Linked DNA regions of Callithrix jacchus. The protein of the gene in region 1 purifies or fractionates together with the protein of each later gene. This does not show direct contact. Links are inferred from orthologs where the notes say so. Each region holds a gene or a part of one and is shown on either strand. Other genes may lie near its edges.

Evidence for each region.
Region 2: the proteins of BSG (region 1) and SYMPK purify together in Homo sapiens (co-immunoprecipitation; 3 studies listed by BioGRID and IntAct, counting the BioPlex papers as one, with this or other methods). This does not show direct contact. The link is inferred for Callithrix jacchus from reciprocal best matches to the Homo sapiens genes BSG and SYMPK.
Region 3: the proteins of BSG (region 1) and GNPAT purify together in Homo sapiens (affinity purification with mass spectrometry; 3 studies listed by BioGRID and IntAct, counting the BioPlex papers as one, with this or other methods). This does not show direct contact. The link is inferred for Callithrix jacchus from reciprocal best matches to the Homo sapiens genes BSG and GNPAT.
Region 4: the proteins of BSG (region 1) and ATP2B4 purify together in Homo sapiens (affinity purification with mass spectrometry; 3 studies listed by BioGRID and IntAct, counting the BioPlex papers as one, with this or other methods). This does not show direct contact. The link is inferred for Callithrix jacchus from reciprocal best matches to the Homo sapiens genes BSG and ATP2B4.

The regions. Positions count from the first base shown.
Region 1 is NC_133523.1:533,416-538,239, reverse strand, and holds part of BSG (basigin), read right to left. Parts: intron 1,910-4,824; coding exon 1,562-1,909; intron 587-1,561; coding exon 430-586; intron 1-429.
Region 2 is NC_133523.1:39,973,929-39,978,752, forward strand, and holds part of SYMPK (symplekin), read right to left. Parts: intron 4,417-4,824; coding exon 4,315-4,416; intron 1,132-4,314; coding exon 944-1,131; intron 1-943. UniProt on the Homo sapiens protein: Scaffold protein that functions as a component of a multimolecular complex involved in histone mRNA 3'-end processing. Specific component of the tight junction (TJ) plaque, but might not be an exclusively junctional component. May have a house-keeping rule.
Region 3 is NC_133520.1:53,563,563-53,567,375, reverse strand, and holds the end of GNPAT (dihydroxyacetone phosphate acyltransferase), read left to right. Parts: intron 1-87; coding exon 88-187; intron 188-271; coding exon 272-365; intron 366-1,036; coding exon 1,037-1,098; intron 1,099-2,091; coding exon 2,092-2,135; 3' UTR 2,136-2,394; downstream 2,395-3,813. UniProt on the Homo sapiens protein: Dihydroxyacetonephosphate acyltransferase catalyzing the first step in the biosynthesis of plasmalogens, a subset of phospholipids that differ from other glycerolipids by having an alkyl chain attached through a vinyl ether linkage at the sn-1 position of the glycerol backbone, and which unique physical properties have an impact on various aspects of cell signaling and membrane biology.
Region 4 is NC_133520.1:30,690,703-30,696,035, forward strand, and holds the start of ATP2B4 (plasma membrane calcium-transporting ATPase 4), read left to right. Parts: upstream 1-2,158; 5' UTR 2,159-2,579; intron 2,580-3,291; exon of another isoform or gene 3,292-3,440; intron 3,441-5,333. UniProt on the Homo sapiens protein: Calcium/calmodulin-regulated and magnesium-dependent enzyme that catalyzes the hydrolysis of ATP coupled with the transport of calcium out of the cell. By regulating sperm cell calcium homeostasis, may play a role in sperm motility.

The DNA.
Region 1 (4,824 bases):
ACCAACAGACGGCCCCCGCCCCGGACCGACGCACCCACACCTCTGGTCCCTACTCTGCACCCTATACCCTGTGACCATCTTCCCGGCTCTGTGCTCCCAGGGCCGCCCCAGCCCAGTTATGACGAGGCTCCAGCCATGGTGGCTGGCGTCTGGGGTCCGCAAAGGGCAGGCCTCAGGGTGGCACTCTCTTGTGTCAGAAGCACGCGCTCATGAGTTGCACGTGTGCCAAGGACCTGGCAAGGGAGCAACAAGCTTAGCTCCCAGGGGCGTCCCTCAGGACCTTCCCTGGGGCTTCCCTCTGGGGGTCTGAGCAGATCTCATCCCTAACTTCCGCCTGGATCAAGCCTGTTCTCACGGCCCACAGAGGCCGATGGCAGCAAGAGAGCGGTGAGAAGGCCACGCAGTGGCGTCGCGGGGCCCGGCACTCACTCCAGGTTCATTCTCTGTCCAGGCTGCGAATCCTCCTGCAACACCACGTCCCCTTTCAGCCAGCGGTGCCCGGTGACCTCTGTGGCGTTGTCATTCAAAGAGCAGGTGAGGAGCGTCTTGGAGCCGACGTTTTCTACGGAGGTGGAAACTGCCCCAGCTGCGAGGCCCGGGGAGACGCAGTCAGCACACAGTGGAAGAGCACAGCCCGCGCTGCCTGCCTGACACCCAGGAACCCACAGCTCCTCCCTGAACGACTTGTTTTCGGCTCTGAAACTACACCGTGGCCCTGACACCCCGAGGGGAACATCTGGCTGCACCTCCGGAAGGTGCCTTTGCTGGCAGCTGATGGGCCCCACCCAGTGATCTCCTGTCCAGAGACACAGGAGGCTGGGTCCCAGGTGTCGGGACAGACAAGGCACCCACCCCGTCCCTGAGCAGGGACCAGGGCACAGAGCTCTTGAGCAGCCCCAGCACAAACTGGAAATTTCTGTCTGAAAAAAACAGCCAAATCGCCCCCCGGCCAAGGCTGCCTCCCTGGCCAAGGCTGCCTCCTTCGACGGCCCCTCAGATGCCCGCTGGTGGAGACCTGCCCCTGGATGGGGCTCCCAGGTGACCCCATCCACCCGATTCCAGGCTGACGGCACTGCAGCACTGGGAGCACCCGGTTCTCCTGCCAATCCCCATCGAGCAAATCTCTTGGTTAATTTACAATGTTCCGGTTAGGACTGAATGTGAAAATCCCTTAGGACGAGACGCTGAGCAGGACACAGAAGGTTCTGAGGGCAGCAAGCCTGGACTGAGGCTGGAGGGCCCCTCAGGCTGGCAGTGTGGACAGACACTCAGGAAAGGAGCCAGGCAGGCGCCCGGGGGAGCAGAGAGGGACGGCGGCACAGACAGTGCAGGGTCGAGGGAGGACAAGGACCCACCTGCTGGAAGGCAGAGCTCTGCCCGCCCCAAGCCAGGTCGCCCAGCGCTGGCGGTCAAGGGCGAGTCCACCCCTTCAGGTCTGGGCCCCCCTGTCCCAGTGGTGGGCCCAGCAGGGCAGAGAGGGGCAGGAGGCGTCTGGGTTCTATCAGCAGGAGCGGCACAGGAGGGAACCAGGGAGGCGGGGAGGGAGGCGCCCGCCACTCACGTTGCAGGACTAGCACCACCGCCTGGGCGCGGACCCACTTGACCCTGGGCGCCCGGGTCAGGTGGTTGCGGTCCGGGTCGTTGCTGGCCCGGCACTCGTAGGTGCCCGAGTCCTCCTCTGCGAGCGTGTCGATGGAGATGGTGCTGGCTGCGTGCTGGCGGTAGGTGGCGTGGATGTGGACGCGGTTCAGCCGGGCGCCGTCCCAGAGCTGGGAGCAGGTGTCGTTGGGACCGTGCCCCTCAAACCACCACTGGATCTCCGGCACTGGGCTGCCCACAGCCTCACAGTGCAGCTCCACACGGCCCCCCACCCGCCTCTGCTGGGACAGTGGCGCCCGCACAAAGCCAGCTGCAGGGAGAGCGGGCGCGGAGCCTCGTTAGTGCCGCCCTGGGGAAGGCCTCGCCCACAGGACTCCTGGCCAGGGCTGGGGGGAAGCTGCTTCCTTTCGGCTTGTGGGAGAGTGACGGGGCTGGGCTGCCAAAGGGCAGCGCATGAGAAAGACCGTGGGAGCCACCGTGGACGCCCCCCTGACTCCCACCCTCCCAGCAGACACACTGGCTTCTGATGGCATAAATGAGGAACCACACGTAGCTTAAAACACAAAACCCATGAAACTGGGCAGAACAGCCAGGAATTTAAGCCCCAAGGGCCTCTCTGTCAGAGGACTGTGGGCATGGCTGCCCCAACTTCCAGACTGCCGGTCCCCAGGGCAGCATCCTCTGCCTTCTGCCCGATACCCTGACCCGAGAGATCCGGTGAGCTGCAGAGAAAATAAAATCCCAAAGCCCACAGGGGCAGGGGGCTCTGTCCAGGAGGCCCCACTCAGGCTGTTAGGACGGCCTGCGGGTGGAAAGTGCTTGTGTCCTCAGCAATCTCAGGGCAGCCACCCAGAGAAGAGGATTTGGGAAGACGGAGCCGGCAGTGCCTCAGGGACCGTTACCACTGGCCCACCACCACTCCTCCCTTCAAAACAGAAGGGAAGGCCCCGGAGCTGAAAGGAGCACAGGAGAATCCACACGCACCCTCCCACTGTGCCTGGCACCCGCCTGCCAGGAACTGCCCTGCCCTGGGGAAGCACGGGGAGCAGGCGCGGGGACTGTGCAGCCCTTCCCTAGAACATCCAGGGTAAACATGCCTCGCCCACCTGCGCCACCTCCTGCCAGGACCGTGCAGCCCGTCTTAGAACACTCAGAGGAAGTGGGGAATGGGCGCACCCCACCCACCTGCAACTCCTGCCAGGACTGTGCAGCCCCTCCTAGAATGCCCTCTGAGGTCAGGCTCCCAGACACCGCTATAACATATGCATTCAAGGACACACGTCCGCAGACACACACCACACAGGCACACACACATGCTCACAGCTCTGAGACTGCATAGCAGTGCACATGTCATGGGCCCCAAGGCCCCAGGGACAGGGGATGTTCACAGCTGACCCCCTGAGGTGAACTCCAGGCAGGAGCAATTAACAACGTTTGGCAGTGCCACTTTCACAAAGGGTCCCCTCCTGGTAACCTACATTTCCCAGACTGCAAAACAGCAGCGACGTGCAGAGCCTGGCGAGGCGAGTCAGGGCAGGAAGTGCAGCCAGAGGCAGCCCGGCTGGCAAGCTCCTTCCGGCCCCACAGTGGCCCCCTCCTTCTCCTCCTCCTCCTCCTCCTAAGGCCCTGCGAAGCTGCCCTCCACATCCTCCTCACTGTCCTCACCCGGGGTGCTAAGGCAGGGCTGGCTCCTGAGTCAACACACCCCACCTTCAGGCAGGGCAGGGCCAGGGCACGGGGCAGAGCAGAGGAGCTGGAGGCCTGCAGCCAACCTGCCCCCACCCACCTTCCCCCCAGGCCCTGAAGAGGCCCCTGTGATCCAGCCTCCAGCCTCGGGAATACCCAGGCGTCCTGTGGGAAACCGAGCCAGCCTGTGCCTCGAAGTCCAAGGCTCTGAGGGGCCGTCTGCACCGGTGACCGTGCTGCAACTGGGTCCTCCACCTTCTCAGCGGGTGGACGGCATCACTCCCAAAGGGACCAAAAGGCTCTGGACAGAACAACCGCCCGTGGGCCCTCCGTTTGCTGATGGCGCTGGTGTCTGTTCTGAAGTGCCACTAGTGTGGGCCACAGGAGGAGAAAGCCTCCATAGAGGCTCCTGGGTACGCTGGAGAGCCCCCCACCCCACCGGGCAACCCGCCCTCCATGCCAGGAGCCTCCACTCAGGAGCACTAGGAGGAGGGGCAGTGCCTGACTCTCAGCCACAGGCCCCAGAAAGGTGAGCATTCGATTCTGGCCACATGACCCATAACCCATGTTCTCAAGTAAAGTCACCTTCATCTAAAAACAGCCACCGCCTCCTTGCCCACTCGGCAGCCAGGCTGGGGCTCAGGGCCAGGCAGGCCTCGTGGTACACAAGCAGCCCCACAGGATAAGGCCGGCCGCCCGCCCCCATCCGCCCTCCTCCCCACCCACTGCAGCACTCTGACAGAAGCCAGAGAAAACAGCTCTGGGAGGCGTCTGCGGGCACCTCCCTCCCCACCCCACCTGCTGCAGCCAGGCACTCCCACTCCTCCCATAGGAGGCTCAGGGGTGAAGCCCTCTGCCCTTGGGACCCAGCCGGCACACTGGGGCCCTCCAGTCTGACAAGCCCACAGGAGCTATAGATGGCCAACCTCAGGCACTTGCCCCACCCAAGCCCCCAGAGGCCCCTGAAGCAAGGTTCAGGAGACGCAAACAGGGTCACGAATACACAGAGCAAACATCAGTGTCCACCCCACGCAGGACACAAGGCTGTGTAGCCCAGACCTTCGGGTCTTCAGGAGTCAGTCCCCAGCAAAGGTGGCGTTTGTTAAAAGCACAGAGACGCTCCGAGGACGGGGACCCACGTCCCATCCCCCACACGTGTGCTCAAGCAAACACACACACCCAAACACACGAGAACACACTTGCACACACGCACACCTGCACAGCAGCGCTCCCGGCATCACAGACTCCACCTGCTTCCCAGGCTGCAGCTCTGGCCAGTAAGCCCCATGCTAAGCTTTCTGCTGAGGACAAGCGATTCTCAGTCTTGAGCACCAGAGGAACAAAACCGTGAACCACCCTACCCAGCAGGGAGAGACCAAAGGTCTTTCACCCACTTGGCTGTCAAATTAGCTCAACGTAGGAACCTCCTGTTGTGCTTGAAAACCAGTCAAGCCTGGCTGGCTCCCGACACTGAGGCCGTTTGCACAGGGCTGGGGTGGACTTATCTCCAGCCTTCACCTCCCCAGTGGGCTCCTATCT
Region 2 (4,824 bases), about 39 Mb from region 1:
CCCAAATCCCACTGTCCATTCCTCTGGATGCGCCACAAGCAGCCCTGACCTCCCTCCAGGGTCCTTTGTCTTCCCAAACCAGGCAGCTGGACCATGAGGTCAACTTGGGAAGGAGGTGGAAAACCCAGGGCTGCCTTTTCTGGACCTCCCCTGCTGGGCCAGGCCCAGGCTAAGTGCTGCAGGAGCACCTCTCATGACATTCTCACGGCAGCCTCCAGGGGGCGATATTAGCTCTGCTAAACAGCGGAGGTCCGTGGGGGTGCGGGACCTGTCCAGGGTCAAATGAGGAAGGAGGGGCACATCTGAACCCAGGTCTGTCTGAATCCACATATAACCTCTAAGCCAGATGTTGTAAAGTGGCAACCCAGAGGCCAAATCGAGTCTGGGGCTTGCAGATGGGGTTGTTTTTTGTTTCATCATGGTAATTTTTTTTTTTTTGAGACACGGTCTTACTCTGTTGCTCAGGCTAGAGTGCAGTGAGTAGGGCGATTCTTCCTCACTGCAGCCCCAAACGCCTGGGTTCAAGCAAACCTTCTGCCTTGGCCTCCCAAAGGCTTACAAGTGTGAGCCATAACGCCTGGACTCAATCAGGGCATTTCTAAAGCCCAAATTTCTAGCACCCCTCAAAAACCTGGACCATGTGTCAGCTCGGAGATGCATCCTGACCCAGCACACAGTGCTGGGGGTGAGGAGCGGCCATGTCTCTCCTGAGTGTAGGCTCCTTGAAGGCTACCACGCTCCTACCACCCAGCTGCCCTCCCTCATCACCTGGGAGCTGGCCAAGTCATAGACCCTGGAGCACTGCTATTTTCCTGGCAGGAGGCAGGGCAGAGCCAGCCATCCTCCACCTGGCTCCCTTGGGGGTCAGGAGGGGAAGGGGAGTTCTGTCAGCTTGGTGTGCTGCCATCTGCAGCCTGGGGATGGGTAGCTGGGGGTGGGTTACCTGCTTCATGATGAGGCGGGACAGGATGTTCATGACGAAGCCCCCCAGGCGGGGGTACATGGTCAAGGACTGGATGACGGTCCTCATGAGCAGCATGGGCAGGGGGCTCTGCTCCATCAGCTGCTGCATCACCACGGCCAGCACCTCTGACGTGTACACGTTCCGCTCCGCAAAGCACAGGTTGGTGGCTGCGAGGAGGCGGAGAGTGGGCCTGTCCTCTCTGCCCAGCTGCCCCCTGGGAGGTGGGAGCGCCAGCACCCTTTGAGAGCCCCGCCCTGTTGTCTGCCCACATGAGGGGAAGAGCCAACCCTGACTTCTAAAGTCCCCGGCGGAGACAGGAGACTCCCCTGACCCAGCAGAAGACACACTGCAGCCCCGCGCTTGGAAAACCTGCAGGCCTGGTTCAAGGGAGAAGACATTCAACTCCAGGAAGCCCCACAGTGAGTGGAACAGGGAGCCCGTGACACCCTCTCTTTGAGGATGACTTTGGGAAAGATGTGTTGCCAAGCCCTGGGGGAGTGGCAGGGCCCCCCACCCCTGTTAGGGAGAAAAGGCAGCCACTGGCTTCCACCAGCCCCTCCAGGGAGAACAGCAATCCACAGACCAGCTCAGCAGAGGGCTAAGGAACTGCCCACCCACTCCTGACAGGGACACAGGGCTTGCGCTGGTGCTGGAAAGATGGGGGGTGCCAGGCCAAGGTCTGTGTGGGGAATAAGGGTAGAATCAGTAGAGTAATAGTGAAGGGAGGGACAAGAGGCGACTGGAGCCAGGGCATACAATGAGCCCCCAGCTTAACACCCAGTGCCAGTACCAGTAGGACCCAGAGGGTTAGCACAGCACGAGCACCCACGAAGGCAGGCCCTGGGGTCTGTTCCCCGGGTGGGTGGCTATGCCCCAATCCACTGTGCTAATGAGAGGCCCCAGGAGCTGCCTTTGAAGCCCTTCCCCAAACACCACTTGCCATGTGAGTGTCAACCAGGAAGTCTTTATTGAGCCAGAAGAGCACCCCCCACAACCCCCAAAATCCTTGAGAGGCTAACAGAGAACAGGGGTGGGACCTCTAAGGGAGGGGGAGGCATAGACAAGTGGGGACGAGGCTGAATGGGCAGAGCAGAGAGTGGCAGAGGACCTGCCAGAAACCGAGGAAGCCCCGCTCCTCCTCAGGGCCAGGTGGTCACTGGTGCTGCCCACTCAGCCACCTAAAGGCTCCAGAATCACCCCTCCCCTCCTTCCCTGTCAGCTGTGCCTCCCGTGAGCCTCTGATCAACTTTCCATACAATAGCCTGCAGGGGGCTTTGGAAAGATCAGACCTGACTCCCTTCCCAGAGACCCTCAAGAGACAGGCCAAATTCCCACCTGACCTGCAAGAGCCCCCAGGGGCGCCCTCCCCAGTGGCCACAGCCTGACCTCTTCTCTAGACCAGGGCCCTCCTTTGTCCCCTAGGTCACCAGGCTTGGCACTGCAGGTCCAGAACCAGCTGGCGAGCGCCTCCTCGGTCCCTGCAGCCTCCTGCCTACTCGTCCTTCCCTGGTCTCAGCCCAAGGGTCCCCTCTTTCGAGACCTCCCTGATGTCCGACACCCAGGTTGGATTAGGTCACCCCTCTGCCCAGTCTCAGGACACTCCTCAGTTGTTACTGGCCAGGGACTTCCTGTGTCCCTCCCTGGACTGTACACCCTGGAAGGACAGGGCTGGGGCTCTCCCTCCCGTGTCCCCAGAACCACCCAGGATGGATATGGGGGAGCAGAGATGCTGAGTTTTCTTAATGCTGGAACAGACTACCAGGAGTGGGTCTAGTTATAGACAAGTTCTCCAGAGGAACAGGGTGGTCTATGGGGGAGCAAACAGTGCACAAGGAAAGGACTGGACTTCGTGACCTTGAGAGTGAGGCCAGCCATCTGCTGGTGCCCAAGCAGGGGGAAAATGTGGCCTGGGTGCTGGGGACACCAGCTGGAGGACTGTCTAGCCCGCAGTGTGCAGGCCTGGGCGTGTTGGAAGAAAAAGGTGGGGCTGTGTAGGGTAGGCCCTGCCGACCCCTCCAGGGACCTGGCTCCTGGTCGCCTGTGTGACCTCTGGCAAGGCCCTTTCTCCTTGGGCCTAGGCTCCTCAGGGCATCTAGGAGAATCTGGGTCCACAAATGGTCTTGGGGTGTGTGTGTGTGTGTGTGTGTGAATCCCCTCAAATTGTATGCAAACAATATGAGCATACTGTCCTGGGAACGGTAGAACTGCCCGCAGATCACCAAAGGGGTCTGGGAATGTGAGACCATAGCCCTGGCCTCTGAGCCTGGAGCTCTCTCCTCCCTGCTGGTCTCCCCCGGCTTTGGCCCCTGCTCAGTTTTAATGTGGGTTTGACATTTCCATAAGCTCCTCTCTTGACTTCAAAAGTTTCTGAGAGAACTTGCGGGGAAGGTTAGGAAGTAAGTCACTGAAAAGCTGTTTCAGGCTGGAGCATAGAAGTGAGCGGCACAGGGAGGAAGCCCCTTCCCCAGGTCTGAGGGTGAGAAGAGGAATCAAAGGACAGCGGTCTTTGGAATAGAGAAGGCGATAGTGAGGGTGTCCAGCTCCGTGGGACAGGATGGCTCCTGGCCCAGAAACCTTGCTCAGGGAGGGGTGGAGGGGCACTCTCAGGGGAGGTGGTACTCAGACCTGGAACCAGCAGAGCTGGGGCTCCCACTCAGGTCCATCTCACTTCAGATTCTGTTTTTTCCACTACACCACTTAGCTTCTGCGAGGCCGAGTAAGTCACCTAACCTCTCTGGAGCCTCCAATCCCTGTCTACACAATGGGATTGAACATACTCACCAGGTGGCACATTCGAGGACAAGCACGCTCAGGCCTGTAGGCGTTCAGGGAGAGCCCAGTGCAGAGCATGCTCAGTGAGTGTGGGCCATGATGAGCTAGCCAGTTTGTCACTGACCCTGCTGCCGTGGAGGCAAGCTCTCCTGCCTCATCTACCCCAGCCCACAAGTGCCCTGGAGCCCTGGGTCTGCCCTGCTGCAGCACCTCTGACTACCACTCATGGTGTGCCCTGCTTCCTTCTGTTCCTCAGGGCGAGGGCCGTGGCTACCGACTGCTTTAGGCCCACTCTGTGCCAGCCCACAGCAGGTGCGTCAGAGTGCCTTAGACAGAGGCAGAAAAAGTCGGGGTTGTAAAGGGTAAAACTTGGGAGGAAGGAAGGAAGGAGGAGGAAGGAGGGAGGAAGGAGAAGGGACAAAAAGGAGGGAGGGAGGGAGGAAGGGAGGTGTCTCTGCAGAGCTGACTGGTGGGGCTGTGAGTTGACTTGGCAGATTCCAGTGGAGGCATGTGGGTGATTGAGGTCCTGCCCGTGGGGCCACAGGGGCCAGGCCAGTGGAGTGGGGAGAGCACCTCACCTTTGATGATGGACTTCATGTCACACTTCACGGAGTCGATGTTGTGTAATGCGATCAGGAGCTCTCCAGGGTTCAGGGGGGACAAGGCCGAGTTTCCCTCACCTGCAGCAGGCAGAAGGAAGGGCGGGGGAGACAGTACAGTTGCTTAAGTGAAGAGACGGGTTTGAGTTTCTCAGATTGGGGGAGCTGCGAGCAAAGATGAGGTACCCTCTGCTTTCAGGGCTGGAGCAGGGCAAGTAACTGACAACAGAAAAAGGGAACGCTGAAGGCAGCAGGTACCCTCAGGCAGCCTGAGGTCACCAAAGTGTGCTCCTCCCCATCCGGGACTCCCACCATAGGTAGAGTGTGGCATGGCCCTGAGCTGTGTACCCCTAAGGGCAGGGAAGACCACCTCATTGTGTAGTCCCCAACACAGACACCAACAACAGAGACACCAAGGCAGCACAGGGGCTCATGCGCATTTGCAGAACAGGGCAGGATGGGGCCAGGCTGGACTTCCATAAAGTGGCT
Region 3 (3,813 bases), on another chromosome or scaffold:
GAGGGGCAATGTAAAGTTATTTACTGTTTATTGTCTTTTTTTTTTTTTTTCTGTTTCTGTTCCTCTCATCCTTCCTCTTAAAATCAGATAATTTGCAAGTACCTTTTGAGTGAAGAAGAGGAGCACTTCAGTGAGAAACAGTACTTGGCCGCAGTCAGAAAATTCACAAGTCAGCTTCTCGATCAAGGTCAGTCACTGCTCTGTGGGTGCTGATTTCCTTTAGTTGAGAACAAAAACTGGTCAACTAACTCTTCCTCACTCCTGATTTTAGGTACCTCTCAATGTTACGATGTATTATCTTCTGATGTGCAGAAAAATGCCTTAGCAGCTTGTGTGAGGCTCGGAGTAGTGGAGAAAAAGAAGATGTAAGTGCTGTACAAGATTCCGTGGGTGCTCAAGAAACAGGGAAACGAATGACATTTCAGCAGAAAATCCACAGAGACATAGAAATGGATGATCCAGGAAACGTTATATTGTACTTTACTTATCTATCCCCTAATTCATTAAGTCAGTATGAGTTACCCTGAAAATTATACGTGGTTTTGAATAGAAATGCAGTTGAAGCAAAGAAAGAAAGTACTTTTAGGCCAATATTTTTGCTTTGACCTAATGTTGAAATTTATAATTACAAGAAAGATTTTTGGGAGTGGAGTGGGCATATGAGTGTATACATACATAATACATATATAATAGATAAATACATATGTAATACATATATAGATACAGACATGTGTATGTATATAAACATATAAATATGTGTTTATATGTTTGAATAAACATATAAACAAATTCATTCAAGGGATTGAATTTAACAGTGGTAAAGCTTAATATGTAACCTCTGGCAGTCATGTCTCTTAAGTGGTCAGAAGAATGAAGCAAGCAGCCGGGAGGTGGGACAGGAGCCCGAGGCTTTCGACTACTTAGGACTGGCCTTGGGGAAGGCAGTTGAAAACAATAGCTACCGTCAGGAACAAAATAGAAAAGCTGTCTTTTCCCCAGAGTTTATGTAATAATAAATCTTGTTATCTTCTCCTAGAAATAATAACTGTATATTTAATGTGAATGAACCTGCCACAACCAAATTAGAAGAAATGCTTGGTAAGTGCAGTTTAATAAAATACGAGTTTTCACATTTTGTTATCAATTAAAATAAGAAAGTATGCTGTGGAACCAAATACTTTATCAAAATGATCAGTAAGTAGTAGGTTTCTAACATAAACAGGGAATTATAGTGTAGCATTTTCTCAAGGAAGCTAAAGAGAAAATGCAAAGAAAATTAACAAAACACAACAGGCATGAAAGAAGCAGTCTTACACAATAGAAAGAGTCTGTCCCTAACGTGACTGATCTCGGCCAGAGGCCCAGCCCCTTCACATCCTTGCCTCGGAGAGAGCGCCTCATTTTCACCCTTTGTTTCATGCCCTCACTGTCTTGCATTGCTGCTTTTCCAAGTGAGGGATTAGGGTCAGTGTCCCTATCACATAGACTTTCTGAACTCAGAATTAGGGGCTGAGCACATCCTTGTGGGAATAATCCAACCCTTCCTCTTCTCTAGAGCCTATCAGCTACAAAGAAATAGTCCAGCCTAAAAAACAGTCCTTGAGTGTTGCCTTCCTTGACAGTAAGAGTCCTTGAGTGTTGACATAAACACAGATACAGTCAGAGGAGATGAAAAACACATTTCCTAGCAGTGATGGGGCCATTTTAGAAAGGAGGTTGTTAACATTTGGAAAAAATATCTGTAGATTATATTGAATAGCACAGTGTCCTTGAGTGGATCATCTTACAAGTACTGTTTTTGTGATCACAGGAAGCAGATGTAATGTGAGCGTGAACATATTGGACTGGTAGTTCAGAAAACATGACAGGGTTCAACTCCTAGCCCTGTGGCTCTGGTCACACCGTCACTTCTTGGAGCGCCTACCGCTTCCCTTGTGGAGGGGGCTAGTGTCCCCATGGGTACTGGCCAGTCTGTACAGCTCTGCATAAGTGTCCACTGTCTCCCTGGGCAGTCGTTTAAGGAACAGCTGTATGAAGAAGGGCAAAATCAACATCATTTCATGAGATACATCTCTTTTTTTTTAATCTCAGGTTGTAAGACACCAATAGGAAAACCAGCCACTGCAAAACTTTGATAATCGACAAATAGTTATGGAAAATTCAGTCACGTACTTACTGTCATCAAAGGACTCATTACAACAAACAGGGAAATGAAGGGAGAGACGCGCCTTCTCCTACTCCCTGAGACTTCGAGAACAGTGGATGCAGAGGGAAGAGACGATCATTGGAAGCAGTCAGTTTGCTCTTCCCCACCACAGTGGTTAAAGGCCTTTGTATCCAACACTGTGTGTGTGTTTTAAAATAAAATAAGCTTTTGGAAACATGTTTGGAAAAGCAAAGCTCAGCTCCTGTTTCACTAACACTTTTCAGCTTACCATATGTATTAAATTTTTACATTGACTTTTGAATGAAGGTATGACATCAGCACTGAAGCTCTGGATACTAAAAGAAAACTGGCCCAGGCGAGGTGGGCAGATCACGAGGTGAAGAGATTGAGACCATCCTGGCCATCTCTATTAAAAATACAAAAATTAGCTGGGCGTGGTGGCACACACCTGTAGTCCCAGCTACTCAAAAGGCTGAGGTAGGAGGATCACTTGAATGAGCTCAGGCTGGAGTACAGTGGTGCGATCCTGCAACCTCCACCTCCCAGGTTCAAGTGATTCTCCCACCTCTCCCTCCGGAGTAGATGTGACCACAGGTGTACATCATCATGCCCAGCTGCTTTTGTTTTTGTTTGTTTTGTGGGGTTTTTTGGTATTTTTTGGTAGAAATGGGGTTTCACCATGTTGGCCAGACTGGTCTCAAACTCCTGACCTCAAGTGATCTCTCCATCTCGGCCTCCCAAAGTGCTGGGTTTACAGGCGTGAGCCACCGCACCTGGCCAGATCTACAAAGAGCTATTGAAGAAGCTTACCCTTGAGAACACACCTTGCTTGCATAGGAGTTTCAAGAAGCTTGAACTAGCATCTTTTGCACTGTCTGGAACAAAACCAGATGGAGAACAGCTCCTGGGAGTTGGGAAGTGAAAGAGACCTATTAGAAGCTATTGACTATGAAACAGCAGGAAGCTTGGAGGAAAGAATATAATTATCTCAGGGGAAAGCAAATGGATTTGGGATTCAGTAAATCCTTTGCTGTTTCCATGTCGATTCTTAAGGCTTGAAACCTATGCTTTATTTGGAAACTGGGCCATTTAAATACGAGAACAAGTAAGAAACAATTCCACAAATAGTTAATGCATAAAAATAAACTTAGAACATGTAATCCTACTTCCACTGTGTTCAGTGGAAATGAGTTTTTCCTGCTTTGATTTGACAGCAAAGACAAAGCAATGTGTTCAGCTTTATTTTATTTTATTTATTTTTATTTTTGCGGGGACTAAGTCTTGCTCTGTCGCCAGGCTGGAGTACAGTGGTGCCATCTCGGCCCTCTGCAATCTCTACCTCCCAGGTTCAAGCGGTTCTCCTGCCTCAGCTTCCCAAGTAGCTGGAACTACAGATACATGCCACCACACCCAGCTAATTTTTGTATTTTTAGTGGAGACAGGGTTTCATCATGTTGGCCAGGATGGTCTCAATCTCTGGACCTCAAATGATCTGCCTACCTCAGCCACCCAAAGTGCTGGGATTACAGGGTGAGCCACCATGCCCAGCTGCCTTTTTTTTTTTTTTTTTGAGATAGGGTCTCACTCTATCACCCAGAGTCACAGTGGCACAATCACAGCTCACTGCAGCCTCAACCTCCCCAGGC
Region 4 (5,333 bases), on another chromosome or scaffold:
ATCACTAGGCAAAAAGGACCAAACACTCCATAGTTTCCATAGATCGTGGCCCTAAAATCTCCCCCTACCCCTGCAGCTTTCTTCAGCTGCTGGCAGGGAGAGACACAAGCACTGGCAGGGGCTTTTTTTTCTTCTTCTTCTTGTTTTTAATTTTTTTGTAGAGATGGGGTGGGTCTTGCTATGTTGCCCAGGCTGGTCTTGAAATCTGGCCTCAAGTCACCCTCTCACTTCAGCTTCCCAAAATACTGGAATTACAGGCATGAGCCACAGAGCCTGGCCAGGGTTTATTTTGGATTTTGTTTTCAGATGGCAGCAGGCAATCTCCAGCCTCACATTGAGGAACCCTGAGCCCAGCCCAACCAGTCTAAAAACATTACTTTTGTCTAACTTTCTCCAGCTCAGAAATAGGATATGGATGAGTTATTAAATAGCAAGGAAGGCCAGGCATGGTGGTTCGTGCCTGTAGTCCCAGCACTTTGGAAGGTGGAGGCAGGCAGATCACCTGAGGTCAGGAGTTCGAGACCAGCCTGGCCAACATGGTAAAACCCCATCTCTACTAAAAATACAAAAATTAGCCAAGTGTGGTGGCACACACCTGCAGTCTCAGCTACTCAGGAGGCTGAGGCAGGAGAATCACTTGAACCTGGGAGGCAGAGATTGTAATGAGCCAAGATTGAGCCACTGCACTCCAGCCTGGGGGACGGAGAGATACTCCAACTCAATTTAAAAAAAAAAAAAGAAAGAAAGAAAGAAATGGGTAAGAAAATGAAGAGAAAAAAGAGGACCGAAATGAGAGAAAATTGGGAAGGGTGCTAGACAGGGGGAAGCCAGACTCCCTGGGTCTAATTCACAACTCTGCTTCTCCATGTGCATGTGCCTCTGCTTCCTGGGACAGGGATGACAGCAAAGAAGGACAAAGGTGGTGTGAGGTGTTGGGTTAGGGTGACAGGATCAAGGAGACCTTTTCTCAACCCTCTGTGTAAAAGGTTGGGAAGTAGTGGCCAGTCACCTTCACAGCATAGCTCATAGCTGTAACCTGTGGGGTATGTGTCAGTGTGCCTTCTGTAAGCAAACAAACATGAGTGAGTGTGCTTGCTGAGGTCGGTGTGGGAACCTGTCAGTCGATGAGGTTGTGTTGTTGTGTGAACCAGCTGATGGTGCGTGTTTGTGCTTGAAAAAGCCATAAAGTTCTATGCAATGTCTATGGGTGGCACTGTTGCACAATGCTGGTGGGTGTGTGGGTATGGGGGTGTGATTAACAGTTTACAGGCTGTGTCTAAGTGTGCATGGATGTCTGAGTGTGTGCAAATTAAAATGGAAATGTGTGCCGGGGTATGATACAAGTACAGGAGAGTACAAGGGCTTTGAAGCCCGTCTGTCTTGGCCTTGAATCGTTGGCTCTGTCATTAACCGATGTATAACCTTGGGCCAGTCACTCAATCCCCAATTTCCTCAGCTAGGAAATGAGGCTAATAATAAGTACCTTTCAAGATTGCCGTGAGGACTAGAAATGATACTGTATAGACAAAACTTTTGGTGTCATAAAGGGGCAGCAATTTCCATGCACTGTCAGTATACCTCTAGTGGGTACAGGGACAAGAGGGAACAAAACATGACCTGTATGTGAGGTGTGAGGGAGGAGGGGTGCGTGCATGCGTGTGCGTGTGTGTGTGTGTGTGTGTGCGCATACAAAACAATTTCTTCTCCTTCTCCAAGGAGCCCCTAGTCAGACAGGAGCAGGAAGGTGGGAGGGGACATACAGGTGTCCACGGACTCCTTGGGTTTCTTGGTCCCGGATCTAAGTGAGTAAGGGGTGGAGAGGCCAGTAGGAGCTGCAGGAAGCCAACCACAGGCAGAAGCTTCCTTTTTTTCCCCTCCGCCCAGCAACCGTTGAATACCGCCACCCACATCCACTCCCTACCTCCACCCTCACACCTCCTCCGCCCCTACTCAGCTTTCTTTTCAACAAGTGAGGGCCAGAGCAGCAAAGAAAGCTGAGGGGGGAGAGGATTCCTCCCCTTTCTCTCTCCATTCCCCCTTAAGACGAACCAGGAAGCAACTGCAGGAATCGGGCCACCTTAACAGTAGAGTAATGGTTTGGCCTCGTGCCAAGTCCCACCTCTGTTCCAGCTCCCGCTCCTCCCCTCTCTCTTCCCGCACTGCCTGGGGAGAGCTGGTGAGCAAGAGTCTGGCCGGAGTTAGCTGGAGCTGTTGCCATGACAAGCATTTTCTTAAGAAAGCTCCGCTGTTGAGATCGTCCAAAGCTGGGGGCTGGGAGGGGGGCACGAACTTCCTGGGAAACCATCCCTCTGAAGAGAGCAAGATCAGAGACCCGCCTAGCTCCCCTGCACCCGTTTTCTTTCAGGAACCTGAGAGGTCCTTCCCATTGGAAGGGCAGGGGGAGGAGACCCAGCCCACTCCCCGGCCTTAGCCGGAAAGGCAAGAGAGCAAAGCCAGCATCTCTAGCTTGGTTGCCACACTGGGGAGACTGGTGGTGGTCACCCCACCCTACCCCCATCCATGGAAACCCGGAGGGAGAGTCCCGCGCGGAGAAACCTGGATCTTTGCTAGAAAGAGAGGTAGGCTTGCAGAGAATGAATTGACTTGTGATTTGCAAACTTTGTTTCTTTCTTTTCTCTCAATGGCTTCTAAAACTCCCAGGTTTTCCTCTTTCTAGCATGTTTCATGCGACTGGTTTTGGAGGGTTTTTAAAAATATGTGTGTGTGCAGTGTGTGCACAGATTTGTCAAATACTGTTTTACCTCTTATCAGTTCTGAGAAACCATGTAATGGAACAAGTGATCTTTTCCTAGTTCTTGTCATTCCTGGGCTATGGGGTTAGAGGAATGGAGGCACTCTCTTTTTGACACCAAAATTGAGCTCTTGGAAAAGACATTTATCTCCCCTCCTTCACCCCATTCTGTTCCTGTCCTCCCCTTCCCCCTTGGCTTGGGAATGGGACGCAGGATGGAAAACTGTTGCAAAAATATTTTCCGTGTCTGTTCCCTTTCTCGAAAGCCCAAAAGAGAGATGGGGGAAAAAGGGGGGGAACCAAAGAAATCTTCTGCGGGAAAGAGGGGCTGCAGCGGGAAGTAGGGGAGGGGCACTCTGGGGCCGTGGGGTGGAGGTGGGCTGGGAGTTGGAAGGAGCGGGGAAGGACAGGGCACAAATGAAATTTCTTTAGCTTTGCAGAGAAACCTCAGCAGTTTCTCTGTGCTGCTTGCAAAACATCCTCAGACTTTCACATCTATAATTAGCTGTGGAAAAAGCTGGGAGTTCCCTCGTACCGCTGTTGTTTGAGTGTGTGTGAACGTCCAGAACCAACTGTATGAGTGTCTCCGAGGGCACCGCCCCATACATCGCAGGTCCCAAAGGGGAGGAAGGAAGGAGAACGGTGAATTGAAAAGTTTCCAATTTCGAGGCTGGAGACTGTGGGGCTGGTGAGTGCTCGGTGGACTGGGTGGGCCACAGGCATCTGTGGGCGAGTCCCTGAGCGTCTTGGGTCACTGCCGTGGCTAGCCGAAGAGCTAGGAATTAAGGCCGGGATTGTCCTCCCTTCTCTCTCTCTCACGATCTCTTTCTCACACAAACTTGGCTCGCTCTTGGTAGAGGGGGCTGCTGGCTTCCTTCCCCGAGTCCAGTCTGACCTCATACACTCCTCCACCTCCCTGAGGGCACCGGCTCTTCTCCAGCTGGGTGTGGAGGGCGCAGGAGTGGTCAGCCACATCATGGGAGAGGAGTGGGCACTGCTGTCCAGAAGCACCTCCCTCCTGGGCATTCCTGCCGGACTTACAATAACTTGCAGACCTGATGCCGGCGCCTGCTGGCTGGGCAGGGGGAATGTCAGATGAAGAAATAGGCCGGCACTCAACTGAGGCCCCTGTGGGTCGGGGAAGGGCGGAGGGAGGGAAGGGAAACAAAATCCCATTCTGCAGTGCCCCTCTCCTCAGGGTGAGGAGTCTGGGAATCTAGAGACCCTGGCCCCGCTCCTTCAGCTCCTCCCCAAGCTGCCCCTTCTCCAGCCCTTCCCATTGGAGGCCCTGCTGCAATGCACCGCTCCACTCTGGGCCCTCTACCTGCAGGAAGGGAGGAGACCAGGGTCATTCCAGGCTGGGCCAGGCCCAGGAAAGGAGCCTGGGGGTGACGAGGGGCTGGGCCCTTAGCGTTTAGGAGCTGGATCTCCTTCCTCGGCCTGGGTCTCCCCCACAAGCAAGGTCTCCCTCCTTGGCTGAGGGTGATGGCTTGGGGAGCAGAATCTGGGAGGGCAGGAAGGACGGTGGCAGCTTGGTAAGGGATGTTGTGGAAGGTGGGCCCTAAACCCTGAAGCAGAGAAGTCCGTGCGAATCAGGCTAGCCGGGAGGAAACACCTGCTTTCAGGCCCAGGGCTTGGAGGAGTGGTAAAGGCTAGAGCTGAGAAACTAGGGGAGACGGAAGCAAACGACTTGTCGGAGAGCTCATCTCGGGGCTGGGGAAGCAACAGGAACCGATTTTCATTTCGAGGTGTTGATTGATCTGACTGCACCCCCAGGCTGTAGGCTAGACAGCTCTTCCCCACCGGCATTCTGGTCGAGAAGGGCCTGAGGCCTTCTCCAGTGGGCAGGGACCCACAGACCGAACGCCCGTGTTCTGGAGGGAGGGGATCCATTTCTTTGCGCCTCGGGAGTCCCATCCTCCCTGCCACCATCTTGCTGAGGTACAACTCCAAAAATCACGCCGCTTCCGCAGCGGCCTCCTATCGTGGGGGCCCACAGTGCCACTATTCCTGCAGCCGGCCTTCCTATTTTCAGGAATCTGATGAGGGGTCGATGCTGAAGGGCTCGGGGACGGCTTCTCCAGGAAGTCGTTATTTAGCGCGCACCGGGGTACCTGCTCCCGCGGCTTTGAGCCCGGGGTGGCGCCCAAAGAGGGAATCGGCTCCCGCGGCCCCAGCCCTTCCCCCGGGGCTCGGGGCCGGATCGAGTGCGCGCTCCCGGGGCCCCTCCTCTCTCCGCGGCCTCTGCGACCCCGCCCCGCCAGCCTCTCCGCCGCTGGGCTCCACCCTCCGGGGCTCTGCCGTAGTCTGAGAACTCCGAGGAGAATGCGCTCAGAGCTGCGAACCGAGGCTTCCTGCCTCCCAGGTCGTGCCGAGCCCCAGTCCCTTCTCCCTTCCATTTACCACCACGTCTCGGGATTCAAGGTCAAGTGGGAGGCGCGCAGCCCGTCTTACCCCCGGGAGCCCAGCGCCCAACGCCCAGCGCCGAGCCTGGGACATTAGAGCTCTGGGTCAGTGCGCGCTGAGAGAATAAGGGCAGTTTGGGGGGCTTTGGAATCAGCCTGATGCCAGCGGGTTCCTA